4 linked regions of the Arabidopsis thaliana genome follow. The protein of the gene in region 2 interacts with the protein of the main gene of each other region in a pairwise test. Each region holds a gene or a part of one and is shown on either strand. Other genes may lie near its edges.

Region 1 (7,435 bases), on a different chromosome or scaffold from region 2:
AGAGAACCCTATGGTGTGGCCACCTGAGAGCGTAACCATGTCTTTCACCGACAAGCCTCTTGCTGCAAAGCTTTGTATCAGTTGAGAAACATTGAACGTTGGTGGTGGGAGATTTCTAGTCTCGTTGGCTCGTGAAATTGTCCCGTCTTTTCGCCCTTTCAGTACGCTCCAATAAGGACCACCGGACTAATAAATGTAAAACATTACACAAGGTAAATCAAACAGAACCAAATTTCAACCGTAAAAGAATTATATTACACTAATATGATCATAAAGGGACAACTCTTTTACGAAGACTCACCAGGGTGACCACATCTCTGGCGGCAATGGCGATTACATCGGCACAAGACACGGTACGAGGACAAGCCTTTTCGAGCTTTCTCTTAGCATCTTCGATCACGTAAAATGACCGTACTGAGATGTTTGGAGGACCATCCTTCTCAGCTTGGTTTGACCGTGTCGAATCTAGTAGAATGGACGCATCACATCCCTACAACAATCCAACCTTACTCAAAACTCAACTTCATATATAACTGGATCAACAATCAACTATCAAATAAAGAAGATCAAGATGCATACCCTGATGAAGCAATCGTGGAAGAACATTCTTAGGAGACGAGCAGGCACTTTGGGATCATACAAAGTAGCATTCCTAACAGTTTCAAGTATGATTTTTTCAGCAGCAGGGCACGATTGATCATAGTAATGAGCATCAAGAGCAGCTTCTGAGGGCTTAACTATCGCTAAAACCGCAAATATCATCGCAAAAATGAGTCCCTTCGAGAATGCCATTTTATGGTAATGTGTTTTGGGCCTCGAAAAGCACTCTTTGTTCTTGAAGTTGTTTGAGGATTTGATGAATGAGAAGAAGCGGGGACTATTTGGCTTATATAAGGAGAGAAATGAGAGGCTAATATTCTAGAAAATGTGTATGTGTATAACATATGCTTTAAAGTTACTCAAATTATTTGGAACAAACATGTATCTATTCCAGTATTCAAATTCTTTTCTCCCTAAAATCGTACTTTGAGTCTAAGCATGTACTTTGGTGCAGAAGAGCTGGACAGAATCTGTTTTTGGTAACTATTAAAAGAATCTATTAAAACGTTTTTTAAAATTTTTATATAAAATAAATGGATGTTATTGTAATTAAAATTTTACTTAAATATTTTTAGATACATTAATGGAACCTGGAAGTAATTTTCTTTAACTCAATTAATTTATAAAAATTGTAATTTGTTTTTGTTTTGCCACTTGAAAAAAAATATTGTAAATAGAATCTTGATGGTGCCAAATAAGGAAAGAACACGAACGGTTTAGAATACGGATGGTGCCAAATAAACCACATGAAAAGGTGGTTGTTGTGGTTATTAACTTAAGCTTAAATATGAGTAATGAAGACTAAAAATCAGATGTAAAATGGTGGCATTTTGATGTGTTCGTGTGTGTGTGGATAGAGTAAGATTGAAAATGAATAAAGAAGAGAATTAAACGAGAAGATGGTCAAAAAAGGGTAACTACTGTTGAGTTATGCCTATCAGTGTTTGGTTTCAATTGCCTTGGCTTCGCAGTACGGTTGGTGAAGGATTTTGTGGTACTATTTTTTTTTCTGCATCTTTTTTGTTTTGCTTCTCACGTGTACGGCACTATTTGCATTGTAGTTACGGATATTATAATAAATTTTTTTGAAGAAAATTTTAAATTAGAAAATTACTTATTTTGTCAACAATGAGAAAAAAAAAAAAAAAAAAAACAAAAAAAACTGGATACATAATTTGGATACGGTTGAAAACAAAGAAACAAAATTTTTTGTTACGGTTTAGTTTACTTTAGTTTCGGTAGAGAAGAAATGGTTTCGTAATTCGTAGAAATAAAAATGGTACAGTATAATAATTGAAACAACATTTCTTTTTTGATTTCATCAGTTTACTAACTCATGAATTATCATTCTTGGATCGAGAGTTACATTCTTCTAAACTGTCATTGAAATCATTAAAAAACCATTACTATAATTTGTCTACAATAAAAACTAAACCTCAAGGTAGATCACACTTAAACTTGTCTCCTTATTAATACTCTTAATTAGGCTATGGTTTCGAAATAGAACTTAAAAAAGAACTTGATTATTTCACTAATATCAAGATGAACATCTCTTGTTAATCTTAACCTTAAAGCCATGCTTCATTTTAAGAATTAAACTAGTATCTGGCTCAAACTTCTGCCCGTTGGCAACCTTGATGTCATAGTTTTGTAATATCTCCACCGCCACAATCTTCATTTGAACCATAGCTCTTTGTTTACCATGGCATATTCTCGACCGGCATTGAATGCTAACTCTCCGGTCTCGGAAATCCATCTCTCTGGCTTGAATTCTAATGCATCTTCTCCCCATACAGCTCTCATCCTACCCACCACCCCATAAATAAAGACCAAAATCTTGTTTAAGTACATCTTTGTTTAAGTACTCCATTGGATCACAAGATGGTCTCTCTTGGCCACTACAACTTCTTGGTAGATTCATGTCAATCTCTTGGCGAATCTTGGTCACCACTAGAGGGTTTTCGGACAAAAACCAAAAGAACCAAGTGAGAGCAGAGGCAGTGGTATCTCTCCCAGCTAGAAGTAAAGCAAAGACATTGTCTCTTAAGAATTTATCATTGATAGGATCCAAGAGCTGGTACTGGGTTGTATCAAGCTTTATGTGAGATGTCAAAAGATTTGCATGACTATCTCTAATGAAATGATCATTATTATTCACTTGTGATCTTTTTACCTCTTCTCTCCTGGCTGATATGTATTTCCCACACACTCGATCAAAAATGGCACCAGCTTCTATCATCTTCTTCTCCATCCCAACTCCGATCCAGCTTTGTAGCTTCCACGAGAATCTAGGTTTAACGTGCCTATACATTATTCCTTCTACTATTGTGTCGAGAGCTTTAGCAGACTCAACCTCTGGCGTTTTAGCAGACTCATTTTTAATCTCATTTTGATTTATTTTTTAAAAATGATAGGATAGTTCCATTAATTACCAAAATGTTTGACAGAAACATAAAATTGAAATTGTGCTCCCAATTCTTTTACAAATCTTACTTAACCTAAATCAGGAATCAAACTTACTAAAAACTAAAAAGAAACTAGAACTAAGAGTTAAAATTCCTTAAGTCTCATGACATGAAGACGGAGATGAGTTCCCTGAGCCACCCAAAAACTGAAGCTCTCTCTTATCATAAATCTCCAACGAAAAATCCCTCAGCGGTTGCGTCGTTCCGCCACCGCTCGTTTCCATCTCCGCCTCAGCGTCTGAAGCGTTTGAGACATAACTAGACACCGGTCTAGCACCAACATTCAGAAACGGAGCTGTAGCAACGGTAGGAATAGCCCACATTTGGCCCATTTGATCCGGCCCACCAGTAACAAACGCAGTACCCATACCCATAGGCCAAAACGGCACAAACCCCTGTGTATTAACGTTCAGGATATTAACGCCGTAGTTTGACGCCGTTATCGGAGCTAACCCAGAAGTAACGGAGCTATGACAGCTGTCATTAACGTCTACGAAATCGCTCGTACAGTTTCTCTTCCTCCGTTTCTTTATTAGGTCACCGTCACCGTCACGGCCGCCGTCATTCAACACTGGAGAGCTCGTCGGGATTTTTAAAGTTCCGTTAACCGATACAGCAATAGCCGGTACAGTTCCGGTTCCGGTTGCTTCAATTATCGCCGGTTCAGCTCGTTCCAATAACCACCGTATCGTTTCTCCGTCGGATTTGTGACCAAGTTCACGGGTCAATTGAAAGACCCGAGCAGCGCAACCCGCCGGCATTCGGATCCTCCGACCTCGTCCTTCTACTTTCGTGTGACGGTCTTTAGAAGTCGGTCTCTTCGGAGCCGGTTTAGTCTTCACCGGCTGCAAATACCCGTCTTCTTGTTTCATGAGCATCATACCCGGTTTGGTTTTCGGATTCGGGTCAGACAGATGGGTCATGGTTGTTACTTGGTCAATCACTTGTATCGCGTTGCCTTCGTGATTCGATTCCATTTACCACAAAACCCTAGAATATCTGAATGTCACAAAACTTCAAAATCAGCCGAAGAATTGATTCAAGTAGGATATAGTCAAAATGTTTAGTTTTTACTGATTCTTTTGACGAAAAATGTTATCTGTTTGAATTTGACAGATTGAAAACTAAAGAACAGTGGATAAAAAAAAGTGAGGAAACCCTACAAAGGTAGAAAAATAAAATTAAAAAACCACAGCTAACCTTATCCTCTGCACGAAGAACCCTACAAAGATGGAAGAAGGGGCCCTCAAGATCATCGTTTTTATTTTTATATAGTCCCATTACAAATCAACGGTCTAGATCACATACTTCATATGGGCCTGTTTTAGCTAACTAATGGGCCTTGGCCTCGACCACATCACAAGAGTCATGTTGTGGAGCTAATTTTTTTTTTTTTATTGATAGTTGTACAGTTGAACCGGTTTCCATTTAAGAAGTGAACCAAACCAACCGAATTGGACAAAACCGAGCCATAACTAGGGCAATACAAAACTTAGCTATCTCAAAACTGAGTACTATTGACAAGTGCAGCTTATGTTCATTTCTGAGTATTATTGACAAGTAAAACCATTATTGTCTTGGTCTGAATTCTATCACCAAAACGACTAGTCTCTATTTTGATAGCATGTTACTGTTTTCGTAAAAACCAATTTGGTGTACCTAATCCCTTGTTGATTTTGTTGTATACAAGGTTGAAAAACTTTGGTCCCCACGAGAAGATTGGAACTGCGTAGTAAAACAAATAGTGCATGATTTACAACACCAAGATTCCAAACTACTCGGTAAATATTCTTGCAAGCTTAGGGTAAGCTTTATAAGAAATGATGGCAACAAAAAATGTCAATTACTAAGCATGACTCTCGAAGACTAGAGTATGAAGCTTGGAAATAAGGTTTCACCCGCCAAAAAGAAAACAATTCACTATTCATTATTTAATACTATATTTATAAGTTAAAATTATCAACATTGGTCATTTGTAATAATCTTTTGATGTTGACTACTAAAAAAATAGATTAAATAAAAGTATTATTCCATATTTTTATAATAGATTGATGTTTGGGATTTTTTCACATATTAAAAAAAAAACATTATCTAATCATTAACATTTTTTATATTAAATATTTTTAAGTTTAATTATGAGCTAATAAAATTAAAAGTTTAATTATTTTCAATCATTGCATTTTGAAATTTAGTATTTATCATACTAAAAATAAAAATAAAAATAACATCTAGAAAATCATTTGTGCAATAAATTTTATAAAATCAAAATTTTTAACAACCGAAGAAATATATAGCTGATATGGGTTTATTTTAGTTATTGGGCATTCATTTGCCCCGTTCATATCTACTTGACATCTAGGAATGAGCGAATTGTAAATAAATATATATGAGCTACCTTTTTTCGAAAGTTAATTATTTTTTTTTGAATCAGTAGCAAAATCAAAATTAGTGGGAGATAGAGGTGCTACTTGGACGCTAATGTTGACGCTGACTTTGTACTGAACAAAAATCAAAATTTTCATTGATACTTGAACCGGTTCTGATGTAAGAAGTGAACCAAAGCAAACCGAGCCAAAACTAGGCTATATGTTAACTAGACTACTTCACGGTTCTTATGTTCAAAAACATGAACTCCACATCTCACACTCTCTTTATCAACAAACTCTGAATCCAAAAACCGAGCAACGAATATCCAAAGTTTATAAACATCTTCGAAATTAGCAAGAAACCCTAACGCAGCAGTGAGAACAGAGATCCTTGGTTCGTCGACGTCTCTGTTTCTTTTCTTCTCAAAAACTCTATCTTTCACGCCTTCGTAGTCTTCTTGGAACAAGATGTTCTTCAAGAAACTTTTACCGAGTGAGATGTTGCTGCATTCGGCTAACTTCTGCACGATAAAAGGTTCGATTTTTTCGCCTTTATGGTTGAATAGATTGAACGCAACCGCTGGTCCTCGATTGAAATTAACTTTCGGACCGTAGATTTTAACTAGACGACTAGTTGTTGAATGTTTGAGTTTGTAGAGAGCACTTACCAACCAATTTATCAAGCATCTTGATCTGTTCCCTGTTGCTACCAACCCTAGTGAATCTACATGATCTAGGCCTTTGTATTCGACACTAGAGCTAAAGCTATATGTTTCTTCCGAATCTGTTTGTGTTCGGTTGATTTCCAACGCGTGTAATGAAATCGGATTGTCGGTAGGTACGAGGTTAATCATACCTGGACCAGTGGAAGATTCAAGAATCGATATGGTGGATTTCTTGACAAACAAGCAACCAAATCCGGAAGGGTTTTCTCCAAACACCTTGTAGAACGAACACACCATGAAATCGGGGTTATATATAGAAAGCCCGAAACTATCCATATCCTTAGGTCCCAAACCGCATGCATCGATCATTACATGCCACCCATTTTCTTGTGCCACACTCATCCATAGATACGGATACCTAGATCCTGTAACCCTAGAATGAAGCGGAAAGACGTAAATACCTTTCTTCTTCGTCTTGCTTCCGTTTTTCCCAGCAGTAACCAGTTTTCTCAGCTTGGACGAACAGAGTTTGAGTCTTGGCCATGAGAATTCAGCTGCAGCTACTTTGGCTCCACGTTTCTCAGAGACTCTGTTTATTTCACTCACCGCCTCACTCTCGTAGTCGTAAACCGTCAAGAGCTTCCGTTTTGAGTTAAACGGGTAAGACTCGGCGACGAGCCTGAAAGCAGAAGTTCTATTAGCGGTGAAGACCATTGAGTAGTCTTCCTCGGAGATTTTGAGAAACCCCATTATTCTTCTTTTCATTGAGTACTCAAACTCTGTTTCTTGACCTCCATCGTTGAGAAGCTTTTCCTTAAGGTTACCAATCTTGGGAGAAACACTGAAGAAGGGACTTTCAGACAAGGAAGAAGAGATCTGGTAAGTGGAAGGGTCGTAGTTGAGCAACTGAGAGTAAGAGTACAAACCAATTCCTATGTAATCAAGACATGTGTAATGTGATAAACCCAAGTGAAAGTAGTGGTCGGATCTAAGACGGTCGATCTTGTAAGTGTCGGAGTAGTTGGGGTAAGCTTGGATGAAATCGGAGAAAGATTCTTGATGAGAAGGAAGAGAATTTGGGTCGGTGAATTCGGTGTCCGGGAAGATGGTGGAGACGGTGGTTTGGGCGAAATTACGGCGGAGAGTAGCGGAAGTGACGGTGGGGGTTGAATGTGGTGGGTGTTCGGAGCTGGTGGTACCGTGAAATGGTGACGATGAGAAGCAGCCGTGAAGGCAGTTTGGTGGTGAAGAATCTCCGGGAAAGGGTTGGTGCATTTTTCTTCTTTTTTTGGGTGCAAAAGATTTATGACTCTTGTAATTGTCAAGTCATTAGCCTATC
Region 2 (7,143 bases):
CCCTAACCTACCACAACGTACTTTAACCACTAACCTATCTCCACATTACTCTTATACCCACAACTAATTCTTGGTTTCTTAGAGGAGCTGAAGAGGTAAAAGGAAACAAAACATGTGTTAAATAACTTGTACCAACACAACGGCCTGACTCCATGCTTCCGCTAATCCACCATCAACCGAAATAAATCGATTAGCTTACGCATAGAAGTTATATGATAATGGTTCTTCAGATACTCAATCATATTTTCTATTTATTTTTCGTTTATTTAAACTACCAAGTTAAATTATTATATCAATCTTTTAGTTTTTAAAAATACTTTTTGGGGAAGAGAATTTAAATATTTTTTATAAAAAAAATTAACTTAGATTAAAAAAAAAAAGTGGGTTAGAAAAAAATTCGAAACATCAGTTAGAAATTACAAGTTAACTTAACAAATTTTCTTACAAATTAAACAAAAAGATAAGGGGAAGAGAATTTCGTTTATCTTTAAAAAAAAAATATTACACAAATTATGGTATTTTCTTAACGTGAACAAAATTAATAACTACTAGCGCATGTATGATACAAGTGGACTCCTAATGCATGATGAGGACCATACAAAACATTATACTTTCTCCCATGTGTTATTGGAGAATATAGCTAGGGTTAAAAGTCTAGACTACTGTCTACTGCGACTGTGTATAATAAAGCCGAAATCATTGTTTTCTATTATTTTCGATTTTTTGTTAGGTGGTGATGCATATGTGCATGCATGATACATTATTGAAGATCCAATGTTTTTGATATTGTAAGCCAATGAGATTATATGCAATGTATATGTGTAATTGTCAGACTGGTAAAGCAAAAGCATAAATAAGACGTACCCTCAAGAGCAAAAAATTTAGTGGGTATCTTTTAGATTAGGGTGTATATATTGCATGATTGATGGTGTGATAAGGACTTAGATGATTCCTTAAAAAGGACACATGGTGCAGCAAAAAAGCACGTTTAGGGACTACGAAAAAACTTTCCCTCCAAAAAAAGTACCTTTTACATATACAAACATGAAACATACACTTAATATTGTTATTTTTTTGAGGTGAAGTTTACTGATTAAAAAAAAAAAAAAAAAAATTAAAGACTATTGCTAAGAGAAGAGTAGTAGAATGCCACCCAAAAAAAAAGAGAGAAGAGAAGTAGAAAAGAATAGAACAATAATGTTTAAGAGAATCCTCTTGTATGGAAATATTGACAAAGAAAATCTCTATATTCGCTGGATTCTTGGTACCCGAGTGAGACTACGCGGTTAAAGGCAGAATTTTCGATGATGCGGATGAGATAGCTATTTCGTAACAAAAAAAGACACAGATAACACTTGAAATGTATATGTACACAATTCATCATATTTGTTTTTTGTATTCAGTGGGAAAAATAATTTGAGTTTTGTAGGATCGTCGACTAATTAATGATGACGTCTCTCTAATTGAGAAATTTGGAAGATAACTTTTCTGAAATAATGGAAACGTACTTTTCCCTGACCGGTAGAGAAATGTTTTACGTGCAGATTAAAATTTTACCCCAACACATCATCTAAGTGTCTAACTACACAATAAACCAAAAAAAAAGTTTCTAACCAAGCAATGTTCAAAACTACTTTCTAAACTTATAAGTATATAAATACTCAACTGCTCCAATTCCCATCACACCTTACTATAAACACACATAGACACATACATATGTGCCAATTGCATTGTTAAGTATCTAAAAAACAAATATGCTTTAGGTCATGTATATTTTATTTGCTCATGGTGACTAGGATCCCATTTCATGTTGAAACACGAAATGCGCTGGTATACCTATACCCCCTACATATTAGTATACGATTGTTAATTAAATTAATTTTATAATTTCAAATTCGGGGACCCGAGGATTCTTCCTAGCTTGTGACATGTAGTATTTTCTAAATGTTGAGGTAAGCTATTTTATTATTAAAAATTGTTCTTCTTTTGGTATTACATATCCACATTCGTTAGAAAATATATGTTTTAAGAATAAACAAAATGTTAGCATAGTGTAAGATACCTCCATTATATAAGTACCTGTATGCCTTAATTATGAGATATATAGGAGCCTAGTGATATTTAAAGTCGAAGAAAACGTATCACGTTGTCACAATCATTTAAAAAATTGTATTTTCGACCCGGGTTTGTATATGCATGTAGATTGCACATACCAAAACTCTATCTCTATGTATGTTGACATCTCTCTTTATAGCCGTTGCTAGTGGTTACATGTATGCTCCTAAAGGGAATAATTAACTGAAGATTTGAGAGTATTTGACTTTGAAAACCTGGAGTTGAATCATATTGACCAAAAGATTATAGTGGTCCTACAATCCCTAAATATGAGAAAATTTTAATTATAACCAAATTGTGTTAGAGAAGTAATTTTAATTCTAACCAAATTGGGTAATCTACTAAATTTAATTCTAACAAAACTGTGTAATCGACTAACAAGACCATAGACCAAAACTCACTAAAGCTGTACATAATTACTACGATGCTAATTGTAGATTAACTTTTTCCATTGTTGTAAAACAGAGGCCTACCAACAATTTTCGAATCTAAAGTAATAATTTTCTATACTTTGGTTCTAAAAACCAATATGTCAAAACTGTGAGAATTCCAAAAGTAATTTGTGCATAGACTTCAGAACAGCTTTTGTCCAAAAAAAAAAGGACTTCAGAACAGATTTGAAGGCGTATCAATTTCAAACGCAATCCGAAAAAGGTTGCAGCGTGTCCCTTTTGACTAATTTTAAGCACAATTTTGAAGCAAATTTGTGAGTAAAGGTGTAGAGTTTTCATACTCATCTTTGCATTCTATTGGCCTGACAATAAAAAGGCTTTGAAAAACGATTGATCTAATGGATCTGAATATTGGAATTATTATTTTGTATGTGTTTAAACATACATTCTATAAAATCACTTTCAGTGCACCTGACAACTTATCTCCTAACGTTTATTTTTATATTTTTAGTCTTTGGTCCTATTGTTTATATTTTTTTCTTGGAGTCTCAACAAATATTACCTTCTGGAATGTTTTTTCATGAATTGGTTAAGCATTTTGAGACTCTACTTTTTGTGGTAGTAAAGCATAATTGGAGTCTAAACTAGTAAAATATTTATTAGGCAAACAATCACTGGAATTTAAAGTCATTAATTAAAAATACTGATAGAGAAAAAAAAAATCACTAAAAATAAATAAATTAATTAAAATGTTGATAAATATACAAGAGCTTTAAAAAACACGTCAATGACCAGCAGGTGCAAGACTGAGATGCAAATCCAACCCTAAACCATCATCAAAAGTAGTTCCTACTTCTCTTGAAAACCCATTAACCGATGGTCTCGGCCCATGGGCCTGAACATGTCTCATCTGAGCCCCAACTACTCCAAACCCTGAATCACGAGCCCCATACTCGTACGAGAACCCACCAGCACCCGCACCACCCGAACCATCTTGGATGACGCAGCCATGAGACACGTGAAGTTGAGATGGAGAAACACGTGGAAGATACATCCAAGGACCTCCCATAGGCTGAGGCACGGCGGATGATGATAAAAGATGAGGCGGAGGAGCAAAAGCAGAGACTATAGGATTCCTTAAAAACTGAGACGCTGATCCAGCGTTTGAGAAATTTGCGGCTGCGTTTCGTGTAGCTTGAAGCTGAGCACGTTTAAGCTGTTGACGCTCTTTCTTGTGAGCGTTTTGGTGACCACCTAAGGCTTGTGAGTTACCAAACTCTCTACAACAATACTGACACTCATACTTACGTTCTCCTCCTCCTCCTCCTCCGCCTCGGCTTCGTACACCACCGCCACTTCTTCCGGAAGATCCTGCCGGAAACTCGCCACGTTCCGGTGATACAGAAGATAGGTTAGTTTTGACTGATTGATCGGAGAAATCTTCTTCTCCATCAACACTAAATCCAAATAGCTTTAGACGAGAAGTTGTTGTTTTTGAACTAAAATCCAGCTCCTCCATTAAATATGTATGTCTTTAGAGAGAGAGAGAGAATTAGAAAGAAAGAAAGAGATATGTTGAATAAGGCTTATAATAAGAGGAGGTTGATGAGTGAGGGCATATATTTATATAAACTGAGATGTGACTTTGTACAGTAACATGGGAGACACTGTGCAAGTGTGTGTTGTGTGAAAGATATGAGAGATTGTTGTGTGATTAACTTTGGTTTTTGTTTTCTACGTATTTGTTTTATTTTTCGGACATCCCAAGAAGAAAGAAAAAGAACAGTGAAAGTGGGAGTTTGAGGAACACACGAACCGAGACGACATGGATAATGGGACCCTATTGGATTTCATTTGTCTCCTTTTTTTTCATGTGAAAGGAAGTTTCAGTTTGGCTCTACTTTTATGTGTTTATTCTTACTAGTTCTCTTCGGGAAAATTCATATGTTTCCACCTACTTTTTAATGTGATTCTGAAGCAAAAAATAATAATTACGACATACTTGTTTTAAAAAAATTACAAATCTTTTTTTAAAAATAAATTTCTAAATGATTAATAAAAAAAAGTAAAAAACCATTGATTTGATGCGTTCTATGCGTTTCATGTAAATTATGTTATTTACGAACTTGATTTTGCTATTTATTTTGAAATTAAAAATAAGTGAAAGAAGTTTTTAAATGTAACTATGAGAGATTTAATTTACCACAAAAAATTTGTATAGACTAATTTGTTTTGGTATATTTTTTTATTGTTTTGCAAACTTTTTGAACATATTTTTCTACGATGCAAATATATTCTCAGCAACATACTAAGTTCGGAGATTTGTTAATGGCAAATGTTTTAGTAGATTTAATTTCATGGAGGTACACCTAATGTTTAAGACACTAGCGCTCCTTAATCTAATTTAAGATTCACAAATTCTTAAAAAAACTCTTTATATCCCACAAAAAAAAACTTGATTTTTCTACGATGCAATCGCCTAAATCTCAAAACAACTCATCCATAATAAACATATTGAATTATATATCAAACTAGTCCTAGATATAAAGTACTCATTTTCCTCCTAGAACTCTGACTTCTTTCCAATTTTGTTTATCAATTCCAACTAAAACGTCGGAAACATAAGTTTATGTTCTTGTTCACATAAGCTAATATGACCATGATAGTGTGTTAGTTTGTTGCGCTCTCATAATGAAACGAAAGGAACAAACATTCACAAGATATTGTAACGGGTCTTTCTTGATTCTTTAACATCTGACGTTTTCTCAGAATAAAACAAATATATATAATCTGAATTTCTTTTATAAATAAATTTGATCCGGACAGTTGGTAATCTAATCTAGAGCAGTCAATAATTTTTAGGATATTTTGTTTGTTAGCTAAGAATGTATTGTCGTCTGTAGACTAAGTCATTTTATATTAACCTACAAATACAATGAGAGAGTTTCTAAAGCTACTCAAGAAAGTCCCGTGATACCTAGACCTAAGTTGGAATAACATCCAATTTGTATAATTATTGTAACTTCCAAATTTCAATACCATATGTAAGTCGAGAGACCATAAACATTTTAACTTATACATTATTCCTCCTTTTGTCTTGATATTCCATCTCTCTAGTTACCTATTGTCTTGATATTCCATCTCTTTAGTTACCTATTGTTCCTCTTTTTTTAATTCTTGATTCCATATCTCGACTTGGTTTGTAACCCAGATGATGATTTGAAAGTGACTTACTTACAGAATTTGTAATCCAAAGTTTATAGTTGATGTTTTAGAGGGGAGAGTCCCCACGAAATGTACCGATTGTTATACCGAAAACTCGTTAAATCTTAAGTATTTTTAATGTTTTACTCTCATGCAATTGACCATAAAATTTAAGTATTTATCAAGTTAATCACTTACAAAGTCGTTTAATCAACAATTTTTTTTTATTTATTTTTTGTAGTTGGCTAAATTAAATTAATATATATATGTAGAAAACTAATTAAAAACTTTTTCTAAAACCATCCAAAAATTTAGAACAACAGTTATGTTTTTTAAATTAGTATTTTCATATTTTACTTAAAATTTCACCCAAAATATGTATTAGTACAAAGTAAAAAGATGCCGACAGACGGAAAGTGATTAGTAAAGTCAAGATAGAGTAGATGCAAACAAATGTTATCACAAACATAAAATTGCTTCGTTAATTGAAAGAGAAAGAAAAAAAGACAAATCATAATGTGGGATGTGATCTGAAGTGACCCAGAAGCCAAAAAGTTTGAAATGTGTGACAAAGAAACATGAGAATCTAATTGAAGATGTGAAAATAAAAAAGGAACAAAAGTCCCACATCTCACTTCTGTGTGTCCCACGTGTCTCCGTCGCATTATCGTGCGTATCTATTTTCAGATACGATCTCAAAATTTTAATGAAAGTCAAATAACTTAAATTTATGAACTATAATTGCAATTTACTTTCTTACATCTAGTAAGGATGTCTTTAATTATGACTATATTAGAAATATATGTTTGCATGTACCACACTTTGGGGCCTAAGGTAAAAATTGTCAACGCAATTCTTTTATACTTATCATAATTTAGTTTGCTTTCAAAGTGAGTTGTGAGTTTAGTTATAGTGTATTTACATATTAAAAAAAAAATTGCAACATATATATATATATATATATGTATATATTAATATTATAATAAGTAATTTTTTAACAGAAGATTAACCCCTAAAATCTATAGATTACCGAGTTTTAATTATTATCGATCATTTTAATAAATTAATAAAAACTCATGTTAGAGATCTTTTAGGTTTATAGATAAAAAAATGAGTTTTATTTTTGAACATGTTTTACCACGTAATTTTGTTCTCTCAAAAAAATGTTTTATATGGGTTTAAACTTGAATGGGAACGTAGCAATTCTACAAACACAAATTACTATTTTACCATCTATGGTTAACATTTTTAAATGAGTTATAATGAATTACTATAGCTGCACATAATTCAACTATGGTACCAATAATTTCGAGTTAAACATATATCAAACTTTCGAAATCTCGATTTGAAAGAATGTTCAGTTTAACCTCTGAATAAGTAAAGATAGTTTGGTGAAAAAAAGGAATTTGAAGAGAAAGCTAAGTAATGTGGA
Region 3 (8,632 bases), on a different chromosome or scaffold from region 2:
AATTGTGAAGTAACAATTAACTCTAATTCCAATCCAAACATACGAAAGGCGATACCTTTGAAGAAATAGTGATCCCTCGTTCACGCTCAAGATTAATAGAATCCATAGCACGCTCGTGAGGGATATCAGCACCACACTGACGAAGAAGCCTGTCCATAAGTGTTGTCTTCCCGTGATCGACATGAGCTATCACAGCCACGTTTCTTAGTCGATTAGGGTCAAGCGAGCTATTAGGAGCTCCGGCTGCAGCTGTGGAAGCGGTGGCTGCTGAAAAGGAGCGTAAGGAGGAGAGCGAGTATCCGAATTTGGAAGGTGATGAATGAGAAGAGAAGGATCTTCGAGTGGTGTTTGACCAAAGAGATCGAAGCAAAGGCCCCGCCATCTTTGTTCACGCGAAATGGTCTCTGATAGGGTTTTAGATCTAATCTCTGGTGACGATGACCAAAGGGTTTTTGGTCTAAAACTGTTTGGAATTTATTTGATCGTTATTTACAAAATAGGACATTATCACTTGTAGAATCTTATATTTTCCCTATACTTTTCAATTGCTTATATTACTCCCACAGTCCTATTTGATTATACAACCATGGCTTTTATAGTTTTATGTAGAAATTAAAACCTCTCATTATGTGATATTCGGTTTTTCCATTAATAATAGAAGTGATTCCGATAAGTTGATACATATAGCGAAGATGAACTGAGAATTTGACTCAGCTTATATGGATGAAGTGGTTTACATATTGTTATGTAATATTTGTAGGACGAAAAGGAGAATTCATGATAGATTTTTGCAAACTTTATAAATCTATTTATGATCTATCCACAAATGTTCTTAGAACTCTTTATTATTTTTTATTTGAGATTTGATAATATTTAATGTTGATCATATATATTGTATTATGGTAAAGTTTTGTTGGTATTTTGGTTTATGTGGATGATACCATATGATATTTTGGTTCTTTTTTGTAATTGACAATTCGGCTATTTAATTACTTCCAACTCAAGGATCTTGGTCATCTTCGGTACTTATCTATTTTGGAAATTGTTAGATAAAAAAAAAACCATTATGTTTGTCAACGCAAGTTACATCTTCGAGATGTTGTCTGATAATGTTTCTTTTGGTGGTAAACAAGGTCAATTCTCATATGCACCAAGGGACATATAGTTCATAAGATTGTTTGTTTCTTAAAGGAAGCATTGGACAAAGCTTGTTTTTACTTTGCTGCTCTAGACCTATATATTTGAGGTTTCACTGCTTATGACTAGGCAAGTTATCCACAATTTCGTATGTACTATGTATCTTGGATTTTATGTTCAATGAAAATTCATCCATTTCATTGTCTATCAAAGCTAAATACAAAGTTATGGCTCTTGGAATTTGTGAACATGTTTGGATTGCCTATATTATGTAAATATATATTTTGGTTTTATATTATGTAAATATATAAAGCATGCTTCTTATGCTCTCTCTGTGTACTCTACAGTGACAACACTTTAGCTCTTCATATTGCTCGGAATCTTATTTTCACGAAAAAAACTAAACACAGAGACATATATTTTCATATTGTTTGGCGTATCCGATATAGTTTTATGAAGGGTGTTTGATTTTGATTGTACCGGTTTGCTCTACCGCATTCCTGTCTGTTGGTTTAGGTTTGTTGGGTTACACTTACATATAGTACAATCCTTTTGTAACAAAACTGTAGATGGAAGTTGTAATCCTTTTGTTGAACTCTTCTAATAATCCAAGCACAATCCATAATCAAAAGGCCAAAGTAGTCATTCTCGCAGTAGATGACTTTTAAAAGTACGAACATTCTGTAGCTTTTAACGTCTTGTATAAAAATGATGATCATCGTTGGGAAAAATATTAATGATCATCATGTGACAACAAAGTACAAACTCCTTTAACCTAAATATATTATCATGTATTTCATCAAACCAAATATATGTACATATATATATACTATATGTAAAAGTGCCAAAAAGTGATAAATGTCATTCTCTATATAGCCCGCCTATCTATATGACTAAAACAATTATTTCAAGATGAATTATAGAAAAATCTTCTGTCAAACCCAATTAGACCAAGTAAAGCAGACTAAACTATCGAGATCCTTTGGTATCACTGTCACAAAGCATTGAATACTCAATAGCAACTTTTTCATAAAAATCCCAAATTTGTAATAAATTTGACTTTTCTATTAAATAGTCGCAACTTTTTAGCAAGCTAAGCTATATTACAAAAGAAAATTGGTATCTGCACAGATGATAATGAACACCTTTTTCTTCATTACTCATGTAATACGACCTATGCTTTTAACGTTCTTCAATTACTCTTTACTTAACCGAAGAAATAGAAACCGCAAGTAAAAACCAGAAAATTCAAACTCACTCGTAGAACAAAAATATGAGATTACAATATCCCAGCCTAACGCCAGTACTAAACCAAAACACACATAAAACCCATCTTTTCAAATATCACAATCTTGATGATCAATGCAAAGATGATAAGAAACAAACAAGCAAAATTGAATAATAATAACAAACACTAAATGAGTAATAATAGTCTTGAATCATAAATATATGGATAGATGGTAATACTAATTAATATAGCGCTTACTCTAGCTCCATTCATCACATTAATTTCCTCCTTCTTGTTCAATGCATGTCATCATGAATTTGAACCTCCATGGTTGTCTGAAAGAAATACATGTGGTAATTTAATTATGAAAGATTTAATTATTGTCTGGTTTCTTGATTAATAACCTATTATACTTAAAATATATAAATACATTAAAAAGAAGAAGCAAACCTTAGTTTAGAGGTGTGAGTTTGGAGGAGAAGAAGAAGAGTTTGGTTGAGTAGCTTCTTCTCCGTGGAGTAGTCTTGTAGTGTTGGGGAAACTAAGGCCTTGCATCATCATCATCCCATGAGAACCATACTGTGATGATGAAGCAAACATCGAAGAAGCTTGATTCTGATGATGATGATGATCCGACGTCGTTTGATGATGATCCCAAGAACGAAACGAATGAGGGAATAAACTGGACTGAAGGGTACCCCTTTGTTGTTGTTGTTGTTGGCCACCAAGAAACACTTGTTGTTGCTGACTATTAAGCAATGTCATCATCGACGGTTGATGATGATGATGGTGAGGATGATGATTCACCATGAAACCACCATTACTCCTTTCTTCTTGTTCTTGTTGTTGATGTTCTGATGAGGATGATGACGTCATAGTTAAGTCGTGATGATTCCATCCAGAGATTCTCCCGAACGTGTCGAAATGAGTCGTGGTGAAATTGTTGGTCTCGGGAACTACGACTGTGTTGTTGTTCCCTTGAAATGGGTGAAGAGAGAGACCAAGATCTTGGCTAAGGTTTGGTGGTGGTGTTGTTGTTCTTGAGACCATGTTGTTGTCATCCTGATGAGGGTAGTTTTGGAAATTGATGTTTGTACCACCACCACCGTTTGTTGTTGTCGTCGCCGGGAAAAACGTTTTCATTGCGTCTTCAGGATCAAGATTGGCCGCCACGAACTGCGTTTGGTCATTGTTCTCTCTTTGGAAAACCAAAGTGGGAGATTCCGGTTTAGTATTCACCGGTTCTTGACGAGTAGTAGTAGTAGTAGTCTCCCCGAGTTCAAGCTTATCAATAGCGGTTTTGGCTTTCTTGATGAGCCAATCAACGGCTTTGCTAGGCCGGTCATAACCTAACCGGTCTTGCACATCGTAGAATTGAATCGCCGTGTGAGCTGAGAGTCTCACGCGCCGGTCACGTGGACCCTTTGATGTGAACACTTTGCTATGACGGTCTTTGCGTCCAGTGGCTCGGATTATGTGACCGCCTTGAACCTCAACTATCTCTCCTCCTCCTTCTCCGACGCTATATCCTTTAAGTCCCATTATTTTTTTACCTTTCAAAATGACATTCCAAGAGTTGTTTTAACTTGGAAGAAAAACTTGCGTGCCGTTTTTGTTGCCCACTTGCTTTGTTTACCTCTTCAAAATGCTTGCCGTTTTGTTGTTATTGTGGTGTTTGGTGTGTAGTGAGTTAATAACATCTGATGCAGGCTGGACACAGCTACCTGAAAGCTGCTACAAGAAGCAACTCTTCTATGCAGATCCCCAAAAGATCTGCCATGGCAGTCACAAGATTCAATGACCCAACATACCCAAATCAAAAAAGGGAAAAAATGAAGAAATATTTAGAAGAAAAGAGATTGGAATCTTTAGTCTAGGGTTTTCCCAAAGAGATGAGAATTTGGACAACAAAATTGATATTAAAAATAAAAGAGCGAGAGAGAGAGAGAGAGAGAGAGAGAGATGCTACTTTAATATATTGATATGTTTAGTTGGTCTAAAATCGAAGGACAAGAAGAAGAAGAGGAAAAAAAAGAGAGAGAGTATACTATTAGATTGTTGGTGGAAAGGATAGCAGAAGTTAAGGGTTCAGAATAGGAAAGTAAACTAAATAAATACCCTTTTGCTTTCAACCTTTTGTTCCTTATTATAAGATTCCTATTTCACATATCAACATGTGTCCTTGTTAAGTTCTTAGCCACATATTTGTTTATTTCAAATTTTTTTGTTACAGAAAAATTCCTCAATCATTATTCTTCAATCATGCGTGCCATATCGAATTCTTGAAACATACATAACTATATATATCATATAATAAGGAATATAGGAAAATTGAAAAACATCAATAAATGAACATATATCATATCTTAGTTACACCAATTTGTAATATTTTGTTTGGTTAATGTCAAATCCTCCTTCACTAATTAATTAAAACTTGAAAAGCATATGTTTCACACAACATACACACACATTGGTCGGCTTAGGATTACATGCTAATCAAAGTCGACAATGGAATAATTTGACTCTAGTATGATTTTTTTTTTTGGTAAGCTGAGGGGTGGCAATTGCCTACCCCAATTTATTAAGAACAAACTACAAAAAATTACAATAAAACAGCTCGAGGGAACTCTGTTCCATTAACATCTGCGAGCAAAAGTAAACGGACTCCCTCTGGGCATGCATCAAAACAATGAAGCCCTAGCGGCAAGGTAAAGGCATAGTTTGCTAACCCGTCAGCGAGACGGTTAGCTTCCCTATACACGTGTGACACACGGACTAACCAGTCCCTCGTAAAGAAGCCTTGGCACAACCGTACCAGGAAGGACAGCGGATGAGCGTTGCTTACCCCTGTGCTTAAAAAACCCACCACCAACTTGCAATCCAAGTCTAACTCCACTCGTCGAAACCCCTTGTCCCACGCAATGAGCAGCCCATAGTAGGCGCCCCATAACTCGGCTAATGGCGCTGCACAAGATCCAATGTTTAGTGCAAAACCACCTAGCCACTCCCCCTGCCCATTCCGGATGGCCCCTCCTGCCGCAGCCAGCCCGTGATTCCCACGGGACGCTCCATCCGTGGTAATTTTCACCCACCCATCGCTTGGAACCTGCCACCTGATCATTCTTTCCACCCGCACACCATTAGGCCGGTTACCAACAGCACCAACATGTACTCTCCTCACCTCCTCCGCCATGTCTTTGATGAACTTCAGCCTGTCCCGACAAATCTTTCGTTCCCCAAACACATCACAACACCTCCACTTCCAAGCCCACCAAATTCCCATACCAAAAAGAGTAGGCCAAATCCCCTTTACTGGATCCATATTTGTAAATAACCACTCCAATAAAGACTGGCTAAAAAACTCATGATGTCGTCTCAGTGGCAGCAACCGACGCCAAATCGGTTCCATAGCGGGGCAGTCACGCAACACATGGAGTATTGTTTCCTCGGCTCCATTACACACCGAACATATAGCATTCTCACTCAAATGGCGCCGGACTCTCTCCACATTAGTCATGATCACATTCTGGCTCACCAACCAAATAAACACCCGTACTCTCTCAGGCGTGATCAGCTTCCAGATTCTGTTAAAGAAGCTCCCCATATTCGGCCTGTCTCCAACGTCACCTTGTAGGAGGGAATACGCAGAGCGGACTGTGAAGGCCCCATCCTGTGTACCCTTCCATGATATCTCGTCTCCATTACCCAGAAAAACCTGAACCACAACCGAGAGCAACCGCCTCTTAACTGTCTCTGGCAGATACAAACCCAGAATTTCCAGGTTCCAACCTGATCCCGGCAACCAATAATCGGCTGCCACCTTTATTCTCTCCCCCTCCGGTATCATATCAGTCCCAAGCTCCACCAACGGCTCCTGCAACAGCCAGCGATCCAACCAGAACCTTATTGTGCACCCATCTCCAGGCACCCATCCAACGCCCTTAACCACCACTTCCCGGAGCCCTACTGCCACACTTCTCCACGTGGAGGACCATCTTGGTTGTGGTTTCAGCCAGCTAGTATCTTGTACTCCACCCACTTTGTACTTTTTGCGAACAACCCGTGCCCATAAGCTCTCTTTATCTTGAAGCAGACGCCACCCCACCTTGGCTACCAAGGCCTTATTCATATCACGAGCAGACCGTAATCCGATCCCTCCCTCAGCTTTCGGCTTACATATCTTACGCCAAGATAGCAAGTGTTGTTTTTTCTTCTCCATAGTACTCCCCCAAAGAAAAGTTCTGGAGTATCTATCCAAAGTATCAAGCGTAGAGACCGGTAAAAGAATCGCACTCATTACATGAACCGGGATAGAAGACAGAACCGCTTTTGTCAGAGTGATTCTCCCTGCCAAGCTCAAAGATCGGCCCTTCCAACCCGCCAACCGAGCTGAAACTCTTTCCAACACTTCTCCAAACGTCTCCTTATTCATTCGTTTCTGTAAGATTGGCATACCCAAATACTTCCCCAGCTCTTTAGTGCAACCAATCCCACTCTCTTCACTTATCAATTGCTCCATTTCTCTACTCACATTGTGAGAAAAAAATATTTTCGACTTCTCTAGGCTGACTTTCTGTCCCGAGGCCTCACAGAACCGTTCCAACACCCGACGAATGATCCTAATTTGCGCTACCGAAGCTTCTGCAAAGAGAATCAAGTCATCTGCGAAGCAGACATGTGACAACTTCGACCCCCCACATGACACTGCTATCGGTTTCCATTCTCTCTTTCCAACTGACGCCTCTATCAAATGACACAGTCTCTCCAAACAGAGTACAAACAAATACGGCGACAACGGATCCCCTTGTCTCAATCCCCTAGCCGGTACAAAAGAGTCTGTTCTCTCACCATTCCACAGTACACTCATTGAAGGGTCTGTAACTCCTGCCATTATTCTGCTTGTCCAACCCTCAGACAGTCCAGCAGCTTCTAACGTTTCCTGAAGAAAATCCCATCTAACACGGTCATAGGCCTTTTCAAGGTCCAGCTTGAGTAACATCCAGCCTTTCCGCCCCTTCTTCCTCCTCATAGAGTGGACTGCCTCTTGTACTAACACAATGTTATCAATGCTCAAACGCCCAGGGATGAAACTCGCTTGGGCCGGCCCAATTAGCTTAGAGATGACATTCTTCAACCGGGTCACCATCATTTTCGTAATTATTTTGAATAAAACATTACATAAGCTCACCGGTCTAAACTGCTGAATGCGTTCCGGCTTGGCCACTTTAGCTATTAACACAAGCAGAGCATCATTCGTGGAAGCTGGTAAAACCCCTGTCTCGAAGAATTCCAACACAAATCTCGTCACTGAGGGTCCCACTGTCTCCCAACACTGTTGGTAGAAGACTGGTTGATAGCCGTCGGGTCCTGGTGCCTTAAACCGTCCCATACTCTTCACCGCACTAACCACTTCAGCCTTCGTAAAAGCTTGGAGCAACGCTGCCTTCTCCGCCTCTGATATGGATGCAAAGCCACCAGTTGGCAACATATTTCGGACTTCACTAACATCTTCCAACGAGTACAGCCGCTTATAATATGTTAAAGCCATAGCTTCCAGCTCCACCTTATCCGTCACCCACCTATCATCATCTCCTTTTAATGACTCAATCCTATTCCTCCTTCTGCGGATAATTGTTGAGGTGTGAAAGAAAGTTGTATTTCGATCACCCAACTCAATGTATTTCTCCCGTGACTTCTGAAACCACAAAGTCTCCTCTTGTTCCAGCACCAAATCCATTTCCTTCAATAGGACCTCCTCTTTAGCTAGCAAATCATCAGACAACACCACTCCCAACAGGTCCTGAACCTCTTTTATATCTGCCACCAACTTTTCTTTGCGCACGTGAATGTCCCCAAACACTTCTCTATTCCATTTTCTCAACTTCCGCTGCAACTCTTTCAACGCATCGGGCGTGGGACAAAGTCACACTCCAAGACAAACTCAGCAGCTCTTTAAAGCCCTCATGGTTCAACCATGCCGCCTCAAACCTGAATGGGCGCCGACGAGGATCGACCTGCTGAAGCGGTTCCAGCTGGACATACAAAGGAGCATGATCTGACGCCATGAAAGGTAAATGGGACACTACAGCCTCCTGCCACTTCAACCTAGCATGGGCACAAACAAAAACTCTGTCCAGTCGTTTAGCCACTACAGTACTCTCTTGTCTCCCTCTCCGCCAAGTAAACTTATTGCCCTTAAACCCTAAATCAATCAAGGACAACTCATTTATCCAGTCTCCAAAAGCCAAAGAGTCTGGCGACAACCTC
Region 4 (8,101 bases), on a different chromosome or scaffold from region 2:
AAATTAAGGCTAAGAAACAAAAACAAAAACGGTGTTCTTCTGCAACATGAATCGTAGCAATTGTTATGTAAGCAATTTTGTGTTGTTCGCAAAATAATGGGCCTTAGTCCTAAATGTTATGTAAGCCCATACAACTTTTTCCCTTTTTTGGGCTTAATCAAGAAATTAAAAAAGCATTGGGCTGGTTTCCCGCTGTTTGATTTAAAACCTTTTTGTTTTTTAAGAAAAATAAAGGAACATTTATAAATTTATAGGCCAACTATATATAAAAATTAATGAGGTCCACTGAAATAAAAGAAGAGAACGACAAGTCATTTCTCTAAGTCCACGAGGAATCCTATAGCCAACACTTCTGGACCTTTTTTCCCCATCCACGGCCACCAAGTTGGTTTAGGCCTCCAATAATACATTTTACCTTGTGTTTAACCTTTTAAAGTTTTACTTCCTACATATCTTAAAAAAATATATAATCAACGGTGTGAAACGGAGAACCATGGTTTAACTTTAACCAACCACACTTGAATTATAAATCAAACATAAACAAAGTTATCTTATAGTAAATCCTGTCTGGCGTTGAGACCGTAGACAAGAAGAAAATATCTACTACTACTAGTACTAATTAAACAACGAACGAAATAGAATCAACGGTTAGGACAAGACGATGGAATTGAACGGTAAAGATTAGATAGACACAAGTATGACCCACGCCAGGCTGTTCCTTTATTTCCTTAGCGTTAAACTGGTGGTGCTGACCCAACTAGGCGTCCCTTGAGTGGGAAGCTTTCAGGCCCCACGAAACAACGCCGTATTAGTGGTACAATCAAGCTTACTAGGCCCCGCCAATAACACGGACGAGACTTTTTTCGCAAAAAGCTTTTGTAACACTTGTAAGAAAATGGAATCATTTGAAAAGTAATGCTACAACAATTTTAGGAAAACAACATTAGTATTTTCATTTTAGATAGAAATATTTATTTTGTTACAGATTTTAATAAAATCAAAACATCAATATCACAATTGTTGTTGAGTGGACCATGACTTAGAGAGGGCTTCAATAAATCTTATTTTGTAAAATTACAAAGACCAAAAAAGTCAAGACAAAGTGGTGAGCCCCCACCAAAAAAACGAAACGTTTCGAATTATGCTTAAGCTTAAGCTGGTCCTACTCATACGGACCACGTAGCTCTAACCATTTGGGGACCACACCCAACCTGGCTGCCTCGGAAGCTATGCGTAAGGTGGGAGCCGTGTGGCCCCTCTCCTCCTCCCTCCACTCTCTTTTTGGTGCGTGTTGACCCACTTCTGCCTAAAATCGAGGCCCACTTCTTAACACGTGCACTTCTTCATGTGCACACGTGCTTTTTTTCCGATCACTAATACGCCGCCGTTTCCTTTCTTTTCTTCAGTGGTTCGATGACCGTGCTGTTGTGGTGCTCATGAACTGGTGAAGCTCTTGTTTCTCGTATATCTCTAGGGAGAAGTCTCTCAGCGTGTGCGTCGTTGTTGTTGCAATTGACGATGAACTACCGGTTGTTACGCCTGAGCTTGAGCTCGGAGCCATAACCGACGTCGCTCTTGATAAATTCGAACCGCTAACGTCTGAAACGGATACAAAGCCGCTGCTTGGAACAACTTGTAAAGGAGGTGGTCTAGCCATCGTGGAAGCCTGTTGAACAGCGGCGACGTAAGACGACGGCGAAGCAGCGGCGGCGGGAAAAGCTAATAACTGAGGCTGATTCGACGGACCAGCGATTTGTGGAATCAAGAAGAAAGCTCCGACCGTCGGAATCATTGCGTTTGATGGAATAGCCCACATCGGATACATTCCTTGCGGCAGAAGTTGCTGAGCCACAGTGGATGATGCCAGAGCTTGCGGAGGTTGGATCGTTGTCGTCGTGGCAATTGGAGCTAAACCGGAGGAAGCTGAAACGGCGTCGCTTATGTCTATATACTCACTGTTAGAAGGTCGTTTACGTTTCTTCTTCATCAGATTTTCACCCATATCAGAATCAGCGTTCGTCGTCGTCGGGATTTTTAAGGTTCCGTTAACCGACATGGCGATGGCGGGAACCGTTCCCGTACCCGTGGCGGCTATAATCGCCGGCTCAGCGTTCTCCAACAACCACCGAATCGTTTCGCCGTCGGATTTGTGACCTAACTCTCGAGTTAATTGAAAAATCCTAGCCGCACACGTGGCAGGCATCCGTATCCTTCTCCCTCTTCCTTCAACCTTCGTGTGACGGTCTTTAGTCGAAGCTCTCTTCAATGGTGGTCCTGTCGAAGACGGTGGAGCTAAAGACATTGAAAACGACGGCATCACCGGCTCCGCCTTGGGCTCGAGACTCACTGTGGGATTTACTTGGAAAGGTCTTGAAGTTTCGACGTTTCTGACGCCGTTGATGATGGTTAGATCAACGGCTCTTAGAGTTTGATCTTTGCCTGCAACTTCTTCAAGCTTCTGAATTGTCGCCATTAAAATATAGCTGAGAGAAAACGGACGGTGGAGATGACGACGAGAGTTGTTAAAAGCGGATACAATGGGAAAGAATCGTTTTAACGGCGTTACACGTCCAAGGAGATTACTAAATGTGACTCGTCAGGATATATATATAGGAGCAGGAAAACAAGTGAGAATAGTATTCAACGCTTTTTGATGCGGGAAAAATCAACGGTCCTGATGTGTTCGATGAGCTTTAAAGAACCATTCCGATTGTACCACGTGAACAAATCACTTTCCATTGCTCTATCTTCTATCAGTATTATTATGGGACCATCTGTACAATGGGGTCCAGTAAACTTTATTTCTCTTTTCACAAAATGTTTTTCTTTTATTGTTTAGTAATATACTTGTTTTTTAACCTAAGAAAAGCTTCAAAATCCAAAATCAGAAACTCATTCTGGTTAGTACTTACTAGTTACTAGTACACTCCCAAATGAAATACCTAGCTTTGTACAAAAATTTCCATCGCTGATCAAATTTAACTTTTCTATGGTTGGAAAGATTTTCAATAATTTTTATTGGTTAGGCAAAAAAAGATTTACTTTAATTTTATGGAAAAAGCTGTAAGCCCATACTTGGGGTTGGACCCCATTAATGTAGGTCACAAGGCTGCGCCACCAAAAAGCTAATTAGTGTCTATGGAATAATCCTCTTTCCAGGATTCCAAAATCCTCCTATCGTCCGTCCTTTGATTAAACCGGTCACATACATATACGCATACTTATGTACTTGTGTACTTGTACAATCCGGATATTAAACATACAAACCGAACTAGAAATCAGATCAAAGTAATCGAAATGATTGTAAGTTCGACGGTAACTAGATGTAACCGATTCAAACTTATTTTGATTCGTTGGTACTTGTTTCGGGTTTGAACCACTAGCTATGCTACTTGTACATACGACCGACCAGAAAGAGGGACCGTAAGCACCAGAAAAGAAAGGCTACAAAACGAAAATGTGAATGTGGGCCTGAGCTGGACCCTACTCTCTTCAGTTCCACACATTGTTGAGGGCTAGGCCCAACTATTCGACCCCACCATTCCCTACCCACTCAAAAATCAAAATATTGGCGATAACGTGGCCTTGAGATTAACAAACAAACGGATCCGGGATTAGAATTAAACACCAAATTATAAACCGGTCAAACCGGTAGTAACCTTTTAGGCTTAAAAGTTAAACCAAGTGGGTTCCACCTTTTCCGATTACAGATTCGGGTCCACCACAGAGGGATAATGTTGTAATTTTCGCAGCCACCAACTTTTGCCTACCATCAGCATACCATTCATTACGCCAGCATCAATAATTTGGGCTGATTGGTAAATTTGAGGTTTTGGATTCCGATGTTTTTACTTTTCACTAACCACACAATTTCACATAAATAAGTGTAGTATTTCTTACAAACCATTTAATCTTTAATGATGCTTGTTTTATTCGTATCGGTCCATTTCTTTAGACATAGAGAAGCTTATCTCTTCAGATACATCTGTCTATGGTTATGTTCTCTACCTGTTGCAATAAACACAATTTCTAACAAAAGCCTGAAACCATTCCCTAAGAAATCTGTAGGAGCCTTTGATGATCTGAAAAAGCATTCCAACAATGGCAATATTCTTCCGTTGCATATAAACCATAAGTAAAACGCTTAACCTCACGATCCCGATATGTAAGTGTACCGTGACTGAGCTCCCTCCAAAAGCTCCACAATTTTCTCTGCAATTTCCATGAGAGAACCAAAATAAGGTCAGTAGATGGCAAGTAGACAAGACAATCAGTGATCTCGTGAATGAAATGAAAGCTTTAAAAAGTAAACCTGTGAGGAATCCGATCAATGGAATTAGTTCCAGCTTCTTTTGAGAGCTTTCCAGCTTCTGCCTGCAATTGCAAGACAAGCATATTTGATTTATTAGTAACCCGCGATAGCTTAAGCTTTAAGCCTAAAACCCAGGGATACCAAATCTAATATTAACATAAGAGCCAAGAGGAAATGAACCACTTCGGTTTCAATTTTTCCCATTTCAGAAAATGCCATAATTGAAACCATAAGAACACTCACCTTGTGTACTTGGTGAAGAATGGATCTCTCATGAGGTACAATGCCCATATCAGTTTTCGTCTCCTCAGCTGAAGAAGTAACAAGAATATGAGTTAAATCGGTTCAACATTACTGTTGTATTGAGGTCCAAGAGATTTCTAACCTCATCCTTTTCAGGTCCTGAGAAATGGACTTGCTTGCTCTTCTCTCCCCACCACTTCGAATTTGCAAGAAGACCCATCCCCAGTGTGTCCACAGAAAGCGATATAGCCCAAGGAATCCAAGATCGGACTCCATATTTTCTGATGAAAAGAACGTAAATGAGCGGTCTCGTTATGTAAAGAACCTCACCAATCGCAAACAACGCTCCATTAACACCCTTCTCAGTAAGTAGCTCGGACATCGTTCTTCGCCTCTCCTTGATCATTGGAGGCTCTATAACTGCTTGCTGATGTTGAATTCTTCGAGACCAACCGGGGGTAGAAGATGTTGTTGTTCTTGCATTCTGACCAAATGAACTTAAAGCAGACATCGCCCGTCCTTCCAAGTTCCATGGATTATGATGATTTTGGTTTCCAAGACCATGAGGCCCGAGATTTCTACCCGAATTACCAGCTCTATTTTGCGACTCGGATTGGTTAGAATCTTTCTCCTCATTAGGTGTTTCCCCTCCTTGAAGAAGCATCTTATACCCACTATTCCGGAACAAGGCTAACCTAATGACAGCCCTGAAAATTCAAAGTTTTCAAGATATCAAAATGCCAACTAAGTAGGTTGTGTAGATCCAAGTGATCAGAAGAAAGCAAGCTTACTTCATAGCTTCAGTGAGAATAATGTAGTTCCATTTTTTGTCTCCATAGAAGTGTTCAGCTGCCACTTCCACAACAGTTTCCAAATCCTTGAGGATGGCGATGAGTAGTGGATAAGAAAGGGATGGATCATTCCCGGAAGATCCAACATGGCCACGAGGTGTTGGAGCATTTTCAATTATGTGTTCATTTATCGTTGAGAATATGCCCAAAAAAGCCGTTACTACAAAGAAGATTACCAAAAAACTTCAATCACACTTCCATGAACACAAAACTGACAAAAGAAGAAAGAAAGAAACATTCTTTGGAACTTGAAGGTTCTAATGTTAAAGACTTAGGACACGAAACATGTGAGGAGGTACAAGTGAAGTATGTAATTTGAGAAGAACCGATAAAACTGAGTATAGGACAGTGTTCATTATTCAGACAAGAGACTTTAGGAGCTAACAGGGATAAAGGAAACAGTTATTCTAAGATTGAAAGCAGTAAAATGTTACCAAAGTATCACAAAACCTGCTTCTGGTCCAATCTCTGAAGCAGAAAACTTCTCAGGAAGCAGCCATGTCAATCCCTGCAACAAAACAAACATATTTGACGAACTATCAGCTGATGAATTCCACAACTACGAATTAAAAGATCGAACTGATTCAACTCTTAAATTTTTTCAAAGGGTTTTCATTCTTAAACCCAATAAATAAAAGCTTCGATTTTAAAACACAACCCTTCAAGCAAAAAATATTCAAACAAGCAGACGATGAAAAACTTAGAAATTGACACTAACGACGAGACGAAAACAAACCCAAATCGACAGAGAATCAGAACATAATCAAACTGGAAAATAAATTAAGGAGAAGAGTAATAAAAATGAATCTTACGTTGGCAAAGGATCCAAAGGATTGTACATACTCTCTATTTCTCCAAACCCATTGCTTATAAGCTTCCATTGAGCTTCAGATAGAGAGAAACAAAACTGAACTTTGCTATTTCTCAGAAGAAATTGGGAAACAACAAAATTCCATTCACGTTAAATCAATCTCTGATTTTCTTTCTCTTCCTGGTTGCAATTTTGCCGGTCGCTGGAAAAATATCAGGCACCATCTATTTTCTATTTTCAGTGACAAACTAGGAATCAATATCGTCCGTTGATACGTTACAGTTCCTGTAATCAACGGTTACGATGCGATAAGTAATTTTTTAACATAAGATGATGATTCATCGGGAAAAGTAATAGGCCTTATCTTGTAGTATATTTTTAGGCCCAATTAAATAGCCCAACATGTCTTCAACCTGAACGATGTCGTTTTACAGTGAACAACAACACCACACGAACGAACCCTAGAAGAGCTGGGTTTTGAATTTGGTTCCTCCTGCAAACATCAACGACGATGCAATTAACTCTTGAATTCGGGTACGATTATCACTTAATCTTTTCGTAATCGGAGTTTTGTTATTCGTAGCGTTTTTAGTTTTTACCTCACTAAAGTTCTGATTTTGACTTGGTGTCTTTTGAGATTATTTTCCTGATTGATTGTATGTAATACTGAAATTTAAGAACTTGAACCATGTGTGTGTTTTAGTTGTTGTTCAATGATTGAGAAGAGTGAAACTTGACATGTGATGTGTAGGGGTGGGTTAGAGCTGCTCTGTGATTCTGAAAAGATTCATAAAGTAAACGTTGATTTGCCCAATGGAGCTGACTCTGATGATGTAAGCTTGAGTTCTTATGTTTTTGGATCATAAAGCTCGCAATTTTTCTCTCACTCATTCCACTTTTCTGATTCCTGGATTAGTTTACCATGAAGCATTTGCTTTCATGGGTTCGTACAAATCTGATCAAAGAGAGACCTGAGATGTTCATGAAAGGAGATACTGTGTAAGACTATTTTTCTTCTTTATCAGCTCATTGTAGGTTAAGATTTCATTAAGACTTCTTTATTAAGCTCAATGAAGGTTAATAACTGTTGTGCAGGAGACCTGGGGTTCTTGTGCTGGTGAATGACTGTGATTGGGAGCTAAGTGGTCAGCTCGATACAGTAATCGAAGATAAAGATGTTGTAGTTTTCATTTCCACTTTGCATGGTGGATAAAAAGATCTGATTGTCTAGGATTTTGTAACAAATTTTGATACTTGTTGTTTGTAATCTCTACGACTACCCAAACTTTATGTATTTGTTTACTGGAAGATTGATATTAGAGTATTTATCAATTTTAAGTGTCCTTTCTAACAGATACTTTATGCGAATCTGCATATCTGTTTTCTATATTCCTCATTGAATTGCAGCAAACTCAACAATTCCATGAGCTTGGTCTCTTATTACGGATTTAGTCTGCAACTTGCATTTCTTCAGTGGAAATAAGTAAAGACCAAAGTAGTTGATATAACAAATGCATTCGGAGTTTGTGATGAAAAACACTACATAATCATGTGGTTACATAACTACAATTAGATAGAACATAACATATCCATTTTCGTTGTAGATCTTTGACGTCTCTGCTCAATTGGTAGTCAAGGAGGCTGCCTTTTTGTTGCAAAGCTTATCGCAGATGTAAACACAGTTCTACGTAACCAACAAAGACACCATTGCAGCTGCAGAGTCAGGTCCATCATTGTTTACACTCGGTATGATGACTTCAGGTGACACTTTTTGCACAAACTCTTTTAGCTCCGTGAAGCTGCTATGCTCACTGTAAGGAACCTCGTACCTGAAATATATATAAAGATTCTCCGCCTCATGATTTTGAGCCCAATGCCACAGGA

Evidence for each region.
Region 1: the proteins of AT1G68360 (region 2) and AT5G51910 interact in binary tests that used the Arabidopsis thaliana proteins (3 or more experiments, as listed by UniProt).
Region 3: the proteins of AT1G68360 (region 2) and TCP10 interact in binary tests that used the Arabidopsis thaliana proteins (3 or more experiments, as listed by UniProt).
Region 4: the proteins of AT1G68360 (region 2) and TCP9 interact in binary tests that used the Arabidopsis thaliana proteins (3 or more experiments, as listed by UniProt).

The regions. Positions count from the first base shown.
Region 1 is NC_003076.8:21,091,544-21,098,978, forward strand, and holds AT5G51910 (TCP family transcription factor), read right to left. Parts: upstream 4,349-7,435; 5' UTR 4,266-4,348; intron 4,160-4,265; exon of another isoform or gene 4,065-4,159; 5' UTR 4,043-4,064; coding exon 3,161-4,042; 3' UTR 3,023-3,160; downstream 1-3,022. Other genes in the region: AT5G51890 (Peroxidase superfamily protein), read right to left, coding at 1-186, 302-490, 580-792; AT5G51900 (Cytochrome P450 family protein), read right to left, coding at 2,138-2,404, 2,450-2,911; AT5G51920 (Pyridoxal phosphate (PLP)-dependent transferases superfamily protein), read right to left, coding at 5,659-7,371.
Region 2 is NC_003070.9:25,618,387-25,625,529, forward strand, and holds AT1G68360 (C2H2 and C2HC zinc fingers superfamily protein), read right to left. Parts: upstream 4,208-7,143; 5' UTR 4,027-4,207; coding exon 3,292-4,026; 3' UTR 3,147-3,291; downstream 1-3,146. UniProt on the Arabidopsis thaliana protein: Probable transcription factor required for the initiation of inflorescence trichomes in response to gibberellin and cytokinin. Acts upstream of GIS, GIS2, ZFP8, and the trichome initiation factors GL1 and GL3.
Region 3 is NC_003071.7:13,218,163-13,226,794, forward strand, and holds TCP10 (TCP domain protein 10), read right to left. Parts: upstream 4,448-8,632; 5' UTR 3,908-4,447; coding exon 2,822-3,907; 3' UTR 2,816-2,821; intron 2,701-2,815; 3' UTR 2,316-2,700; downstream 1-2,315. Other genes in the region: EMB2785 (elongation factor family protein), read right to left, coding at 44-382. UniProt on the Arabidopsis thaliana protein: Plays a pivotal role in the control of morphogenesis of shoot organs by negatively regulating the expression of boundary-specific genes such as CUC genes, probably through the induction of miRNA (e.g. miR164). Participates in ovule development.
Region 4 is NC_003071.7:18,819,315-18,827,415, forward strand, and holds TCP9 (TCP family transcription factor), read right to left. Parts: upstream 2,576-8,101; 5' UTR 2,474-2,575; coding exon 1,403-2,473; 3' UTR 928-1,402; downstream 1-927. Other genes in the region: SSE1 (shrunken seed protein (SSE1)), read right to left, coding at 4,151-4,212, 4,313-4,374, 4,556-4,623, 4,698-5,262, 5,347-5,566, 5,857-5,914, 6,219-6,287; AT2G45695 (Ubiquitin related modifier 1), read left to right, coding at 6,729-6,751, 6,969-7,050, 7,134-7,216, 7,313-7,430; AT2G45700 (sterile alpha motif (SAM) domain-containing protein), read right to left, coding at 7,902-8,046.